2 linked regions of the Macaca mulatta genome follow. The protein of the gene in region 1 purifies or fractionates together with the protein of each later gene. This does not show direct contact. Links are inferred from orthologs where the notes say so. Each region holds a gene or a part of one and is shown in the gene's direction. Other genes may lie near its edges.

What was found.
Region 2: the proteins of DAPK1 (region 1) and IFI30 purify together in Homo sapiens (affinity purification with mass spectrometry; 3 studies listed by BioGRID and IntAct, counting the BioPlex papers as one, with this or other methods). This does not show direct contact. The link is inferred for Macaca mulatta from reciprocal best matches to the Homo sapiens genes DAPK1 and IFI30.

Annotation. Positions count from the first base shown.
Region 1 is NC_133420.1:118,444,609-118,448,419, forward strand, and holds part of DAPK1 (death-associated protein kinase 1), read left to right. Parts: coding exon 1-35; intron 36-2,794; coding exon 2,795-2,983; intron 2,984-3,811. UniProt on the Homo sapiens protein: Calcium/calmodulin-dependent serine/threonine kinase involved in multiple cellular signaling pathways that trigger cell survival, apoptosis, and autophagy.
Region 2 is NC_133424.1:18,688,357-18,692,267, forward strand, and holds the start of IFI30 (gamma-interferon-inducible lysosomal thiol reductase), read left to right. Parts: upstream 1-1,605; 5' UTR 1,606-1,634; coding exon 1,635-1,766; intron 1,767-2,860; coding exon 2,861-3,043; intron 3,044-3,131; coding exon 3,132-3,206; intron 3,207-3,425; coding exon 3,426-3,518; intron 3,519-3,911. UniProt on the Homo sapiens protein: Lysosomal thiol reductase that can reduce protein disulfide bonds. May facilitate the complete unfolding of proteins destined for lysosomal degradation. Plays an important role in antigen processing.

The DNA of each region.
Region 1 (3,811 bases):
ATCATCTGCAAGAAATACGAAGCCAGATTGTTTCGGTAAGTACACCCTAGAGAGGGCCTGGACCCCTTTGTACTTCCTGGTTTGCCTTCAGTTTCAGGGAACTGTTTCATAGTAGGACCCAGTAAGAGGTGTCTGCCTGGACATGTTTTCATTCTAGTGCTCTGGGAAAAGAAAGGAAGACTAGAGAAACAAGGAGACGATGGGAGATAAAAGGTTATTAAGGGCAAAGGTGGACCACTTCAATTTTATGAAATTCTTACCAATTTATTGGTTTCTTTAAAAACACTTATTTTATTTTTTCAGAGACAGGATCTCACACTGTCATCCAGGCTGGAGTACAGTGGTGTGATCATAGCTCACTGTAGCCTTGAACTCCAGGGCTCAAGCAATCAGCCTGCCTCAGCCTCCCAAGTATCTAGGACTATAGGCACGCACCACCACGTCTGGCTAATTTTTTTGATTTTTGGTAGAGACAGGGTCTCACTGTGTTGCCCAGGCTGGTCTCAAACTCCTAGGCTTAGGTGTAAGCCACCATGTCTGGCCAATTAAACAAAAAAAAAAATTTCAAAAGTGACTTATTGTGGAATATTTTAAAAATTCAGAAAAGTAGAAAAACAGTCACAAACTTTTTTGAAAGACAGAAAAGAATAAATGAACAAAGGGAACGAGACTGCATTCTTGGGTTGTAAGATATGACTGAATATTTTATTTTCCCCTAGTTATATAAATGTAATACAATTTCAGTTAGCATCTGAATGGGTTGAGGGGATTGGGATTTTTATCTTAAAATTTCCATGGAAAAATTAATTGAACATATTATAAAGCCCCTGATAATCAATACAGCTAAATAGGAGGAAAAGCTTAGAGAGTGTAGAAGTAAATCATAATATCTTTAGAAATGTAATGGAAAATAAATATGTTATTTGAATTTAATGGGGTAAAGATTATTTAATAAATGAACCTGGCACAACTGGCTATTTGTCCGGAAGGAAATAAAGTTGGATTCCTACACCCTACAAAGTCCAAAAATAAATGGATTAAAACTTTTAAATGTAAAAACATAAAACAATAAATATCTTGAATAGAAATTGTGGAGAGTGTATTTTCAAAATAACTAGGGACTGAGGAAACCTGTTAAACCAAGATCTAAAACCCTAGAAATTTTAAAAGAAAATACATCTATTTGAAAATCTAAAAATTTTTTAAATTTTTTTCTGGCAAACAAGTAAACAAAGCTGAAAGGTGAAATAGGCTTGGAAAAAGCCTTCTCAATGCATTGGACAGATAAAGGGTCACATCATAATGCTCAAAAAGCTCTCCAGAATTGGTAAGAAAGGGGCAGGCATCCCAGTGGAGAAGTGGTGGCATTCACTCTGGACTCTTCCTGCTGCCCAGGCCTGAGGTCAAATGTGGGCAGATGCCTGTCTCTCTCTCTTACCTTTAAAGCTGCCTCTGGGTGTATCTCTCTCTCTTTTTTTTTTTTTTTTTTTTTTTAACTGCTTTGCTAATAGGAAAATGCTGTGCTTTCCACACCAGATTCGCGTTCCAGACATGCTTGCAGAATTCTCGGGAAACCCTTTCCTGCCTCCAGTAAACCCTGCCCTTCACACCAGATATCCTCTTTGGGGCATCCCCATTGTGGCATCATCAGAAGATAGGGGGTAGTCTGGTGAGGCCTGGGAGGAATCTGTCACAGAAACCGGGGCGGTGATCTGGGAACTAACAGTGATCTGTGAGGCCCCAGCGCTTCCCCACCAGGTCTGGATTGGGGCTGCATTCCTGAGGCAGGAGGGAATCCCTGGAGATTTTTGAGCTGGGCGCTGGCATGATCTGCTGCATCTCAGACAATCCCCCCGCCCAACCCCTAAACTCCTGAGCTCAGGCAGGTGGAGCCCACCATGTCAACTGCACTCACTCCTGAGAATTTTGTTTTTGAATGCAGAGTGGAATTTAGCTGACATGAAAGAATTTGAGAGGGGAGTGTGGAATTAACGGCACAGTGTAGCCTGTGGCTTGTGTGGTTTCTAATTCAGAGGTATGTGGATTGCATGAGTCTGTAACACAGGCTGATTTACTTAGCCAAGTTAAAAGGTTAAAAATCCACTTCAGCCTGTATACCAAGAATGGGTCTAATTGGAAACACTGTTTCAGCAACAGTCCCCATGAATGCCGAATTTACTGGTAAACACTCACTCTAATATTGATGATGATACTCATTCTCTTTTCCTCTGTTCATAAAATGATCATTGCCTGAGTGAAACAGTCACAAGAGGGAGAGAGAGCAAGGGAAGAAAGGCGGGAGGGAGGAAGAAATGAGGGAGTGAAACATTAGGAGTTGGTGAACATTAGTTGATTGAGTGACTGAGTCCACAGTTCCAAAACATTCCTGGAAGACTCAAAATCTATTTAACATGAACCAAAGAGCCTTTATAAAACTTTATATTTGCGCAATAGATTAGGCTTCAAGGCGAGTCTAAAAAACAACTGCCCCAGCACTCAACCCAAAAGGCACTAACTAGCTGGACGCAGTGGTGTGTACCTGTAGTCAGAGCTACTCAGGAGACGGAGACAAGAGGATTACTTGAGCCCAAGGGTTTGAGACCAACCTGGGCAATGGCGAGATCCAGTCTAAAAAAAGAAAAAAAACATAAACAACAACAAAAACAAATCTACTCATTCATCAGATCAAATCATATGCAAGGCGCCTGAATGAAAGGCGTCCTTTCCACTGTGGCTCTGCTCGGAGCACCCACAGCTGCAGGTGAGTTGACCTGTCCCGCCGTGCCCCTTCTAGGTCTGCCCTCCCATGACTCACCTGTGTGAGAAAATCATCTCCACGCTGCCTTCCTGGAGGAAGCTCAATGGACCCAACCAGCTGATGTCGCTGCAGCAGTTTGTGTACGACGTGCAGGACCAGCTGAACCCTCTGGCCAGCGAGGAGGACCTCAGGCATATTGCTCAGCAGCTCCACAGCACAGGCGAGGTGAGGCCCTGGGAGCCCAGGCAGGGGGCCATGAGAGGTACCAGGGACTCAGCCTGCCCCAAATTCCAGCTCTTGGAGGTGGTGTGAGCCTGGGGAAGCAGTGTGGAAATGGCCCAGCTACCTACAATATTTCCAGACGTGTGACAAACAGCCTCAAATGATGCTCTGAACTGCAGTTCTCGGCTCACCCTAGGAGCTGCCATTTTGTCTTGTGTTTTGCTTTTGTTTCCAGTGTTTTGCTTTTGTTTCCAGAGTCTGTTCGTTTGGGAGTGCAGTGCCCGCTGCCCTGGGTGACTGGGTCTCTCTTCACTCCCCCTGGGCACTGGGAGCTTAACCTGCTACTCCTGGCAGCCTTCAGGATGGCTGCCTTCTATCAGCATGGAGTTACCAGCTCCACACAGATCTCCTGGGCGCAAAAACAGTTGAGGAAGGCAGTAAGGTATCCTTGTGGAGACGATGTCTGGAGCCACAAAGACAGAGAACTCTAGTGCACAGATACACAGAGTAATCACAATTAGAGATGCACCTTAAAAAACTCTAGCAGGCAATGAATGCCCTGCAGAAATGATTGAGAATGGGAGGCTTTGCTCTGGTTCTGTGACATTCAGCACCGGGGCGTGGTTTGGAAACCCAGTTCTAATGGCATCATGTGCCTGTCCCCAGAAAGGGTGCAATGCCTTCACGTTTCTCCACAATGTGAAATCGGGAGCCTGCATGAACTAGTGTGGGCCAAGAAGAACAGTTCTGAATATTGCAACTAAAAGCAGCTCTGAGATTATTAAAAGCCAGGTGCTTACCTCCCCAGTCTCAGGTGCCAGGTCTGGCCCT
Region 2 (3,911 bases), on another chromosome or scaffold:
GAGTCAGCAGCCCCTACCCGCAGCCCCAACTGGATGCTTCTGAGGGTTCAATGATAAAATGGGTTGCGGGCCCACTCTATGCCTGGCAGCAAGCCAGACAGCAATACATTGTGGGGTTACATTTACCATTTCTTCCAATAGGGCTGGGCTGGTAACTACTGGAAAAATTGTAGCGATTATATTTATGGTTATTTCTTCAATCCCACCCGGCATAGGGTAAGCACCAGACTTGAGGCGGTGAGTCCTGGGGAGGCTTTGAGAAGGAAAAGGGCTTTGCCAACGGTTTGGTTGTCTGAGGGATGGGCTTGGGGACCATCCAGCCCCCGGGACTTCAGGGAAACTCCGGCTCCCAAACCAGCTGCCGTGTGCGTGGTCGGGGTCTTCCACACAGCTAGAAGGGGGCACAGCTGGGGACTCAGCTATATCTTCCAGCCGTCTTTGGGACATTTTCTTCCTTAGGATCAGGTGTGTCTTGCCCTGAATGTGAGGCCCTGCAGGGTCTGAATGTCTCAATTATTCCCCCAACACTCCAACCTCCATCTGGGCCTTTTTTCCAGGCTATTCTCTCTGCCTTCACTGCTGGGGCCACTGTCCTGTGTAGGCACCAAGGCCTGACCATGCCACCCGGAAGCCCCAACCTGGGACAACTCTCCCCCACCTGCCTCTGAGCCCTCCATGGTGACTCTTGTTCCCCAAACCTTATCCTTCTCCCCATTACACAGAAGGGAAAGCTAAGGCTCCGTCACTCAAATCCAAAGCCAGACGGACTCCAAGCCGTCCCACCCCTATCCCAGACAGCACAGGCCCCTGCTTTCCCCCATGGGTGCCCCTTGAAGGCCAGGTTGCCCCCACCCTCCACAAGCCTTAGATGGTGAAAAGAAGGAAGGCCAGTTCTCTTCACCCCAAGTCGGAAGTGGGACTGGAGGGGGGGTACCCTAGAGAAATGACATGCCGCTCCCTGTGCCAGCTTCTGCTTTCTGGCATGGCTGTGGTCAAGCCTGAGTCAGTCCCACGGGACCACGGAGCCGGGTCTGGAGCATCGGGCTCAGGAGCTTGAGGGGGAAGGATCAAGGGGCAGGACGTGGGGGTTGGGCGTGAGGGAGGTCACGGGCCAGGCTGGAGGGAGGGAACCTGGCCACACAGGGCTTGCCCACTCTCAGGGGGCTGAACATTTGTTACTCCCCCAACACCCCAGCCTCCATCCCATCCCCAGCCTCCATCCGACGTCACCCCGTTAGATCACAGGCCCACTCTGAGAGTGGGTCCCAGGCCTCAAGTCCCCTAGCCGCCCCCAGAAAGTCTAGGAGTGCATGGACACACCACCATTCCTCTCAGCCTCTTTGTGTCTATCTCAAAGACCCCACCTCACCTCCCCTAAAGGTCCTCTTGCGCCAGGGCTCACATGCCTAGGCAGGGCTGATTGCCAAGGGGCCCAGTGACCTCGTGACTGGGGACCCAGCACCTGGCAGGGGTGGGGGTGGGACACCCAGAGGGAGGAGTGGAGGAGGGAGGGACGCTGGCTCGGGGCCCAGGGGCGTGGGCACCGGGAGGCGGGCCCGGGTTAGGGTGGCCCTGGTTAAAGGCGCTCATTTCCCAGGCAGCCGCCCCAGCCGCCACACTTTTGCCCCGCAGCGATGTCCCTGTCGCCACTTCTGCTGTTCCTGCCACCGCTGCTGCTGCTGCTGGACGACCCCACGGCAGCGGTGCAGGCGTCCCCTCTGCAAACGTTAGACATCTTTGGGAATGGGCCGCCAGTTAACTACAAGGTAGGGACGGCGACAGGGCGGGCAGACTGGAGGGGACAGGCGCCCTGTCGGGGCAGGCGGCTCCTTCTTTCTCCCCAGACTTCACAGGGGAAGACCAGGGCCCCGACTGGAAAAACCCCGTTCATTTCCCGGCACTGCGGCCAGAGTCCCTCCGTGCCGTTTCGCTTTCGCATCCCGCATCTGAGACGCGCAGTTGCTTCCACCGCCTCGTCCCGCCCAAGGGTTCATTGAGCGCCTATTGTGTACTTTTGGGGCAGGAGCTGGGGTCTCCTTTTATGGTCCAGGGCACAAGTTCAGCAGCTGGCCGAGGGCCACCGGCATGCGTTCTTGCTGCTACCCCTGGTGCATTCATTCCAGCCAGGGCAGGGCTTGCGTGTCTCTGGGACCTATTAGGCAAATGCCCTAGAAGCTGAGCGACTTGCTCAGGGATCCAGCGACACGGGCCGCCCGCCACCCCTCAGCTGAAGCCGGAAGTCAGCACCTATTAGGTGCCGCCTCTGTTTGGTCGGACTTGGAAAGGGTTCACGTGGGTTCCTTGCTCAGCTCAGAGTCAAAGTCTCCTGGTGGAGTGGCAAGAAATGGGCATGGGCCAAGGCCGGAGGCGGTGGCTCACACCTGTAATCCCAGCACTTTGGGAGGCCGAGGCGGGCGGATCACGAGGTCAGGGGATCGAGACCATCCTGGCTAGGCTAATACGGTGAAACCCCGTCTCTACTAAAAATACAAAAAAATTAACCGGGTGTAGTGGCCGGCGCCTGTAGTCCCAGCTACTCGGGACTGTAGTCCCAGCTACTTGGGAGGCTGAGGCAGGACAATGGCGTGAACCCGGGAGGCGGAGCTTGCAGTGAGCCAAGATGGTGCCAGTGCACTCCAGCCTGGGCGACAGAGAGAGACGCTGTCTCAAAAAAAAAAAAAAAAAAAAAAAAAAAAAAAAAAAAAGTCTCAAAGTCAAGATTCCACCTGGCAAGTTCTGGAAGGTGTGCAAGATGAATTGCCTATGACAGCCCCCTTTCTACAAGAATACCAAGTGGGGTTCAGAGAAGTGGGGAACTGCCCAGGGCTACACCTGCCTCACACCCCTTCCTAATCCACAGATGGGCAATCTATACCTGCGGGGGCCCGTCAAGAAGTCCAACGCACCGCTTGTCAACGTGACCCTCTACTATGAAGCACTGTGCGGTGGCTGCCGCGCCTTCCTGGTCCGAGAGCTTTTCCCAACGTGGCTGATGGTCATGGAGATCCTCAATGTCACGCTGGTGCCCTACGGAAATGCACAGGTGCATGGGCGCTGGGGAAACTGAGGCACGTGGGCAGGGGAGCAGGGGACCCAGCCTGCCAGCCAGCTCTCACCCTGCTGCCTTGTAGGAACAAAATGTCAGCGGCAGATGGGAGTTCAAGTGCCAGCATGGAGAAGAGGAGTGCAAACTCAACAAGGTGGAGGTGAGCATCCCCAGGGCCCCACACCGGGGTGGGGGAAAACCGTCCGATGTACAGGAGGTAAATATGAGGATGCCAGCTCTGTCTTCTGCCTCGTGTGCTCCCATTTAATCACATCTTTATTCCCTATCTCCTGGGTGGGTACTGGTGATTATTACGAGAGGGTGTCAGGGTACCCTGGGCCCCCTTCATGCCCTCTCCTGCCCCCTCTCCAAACCCCAGGCCTGCCTGTTGGATATGCTTGACATGGATCTAGCCTTCCTGACCATTGTCTGCATGGAAGAGTTTGACGACATGGAGAAAAGTCTGCCACTAGTGAGTGACGCCCCTCACTCCCCACGAGGAGGGGGACAAGGGTGGTAACCTTCCCTACACCCAGGCAGACTCAAATTCAAGTCTCAGCCTTGACCACTGCTGTCTGTGCAGCCCAAGAAAACAACTACCCTTCTTTATTTTATTTATTTATTTATTTTTTTCTTGAGACGGAGTCTCGCTCTGTCACCCAGGCTGCAGTGCAGTGGCACAATCCCGGTTCACTGCAACCTCCACCTCCCGGGTTCAAGTGATTCTCCTGCCTCAGCCTCCTGAGTAGCTGGGATTACAGTTCTGTGCCACCATACCAGGCTAATTTTTGTATTTTTAGTAGAGACAGGGTTTTACCATGTTGGTTAGGCTTGTCTTGAACTCTTGACCTCGTGATCCGCCCGC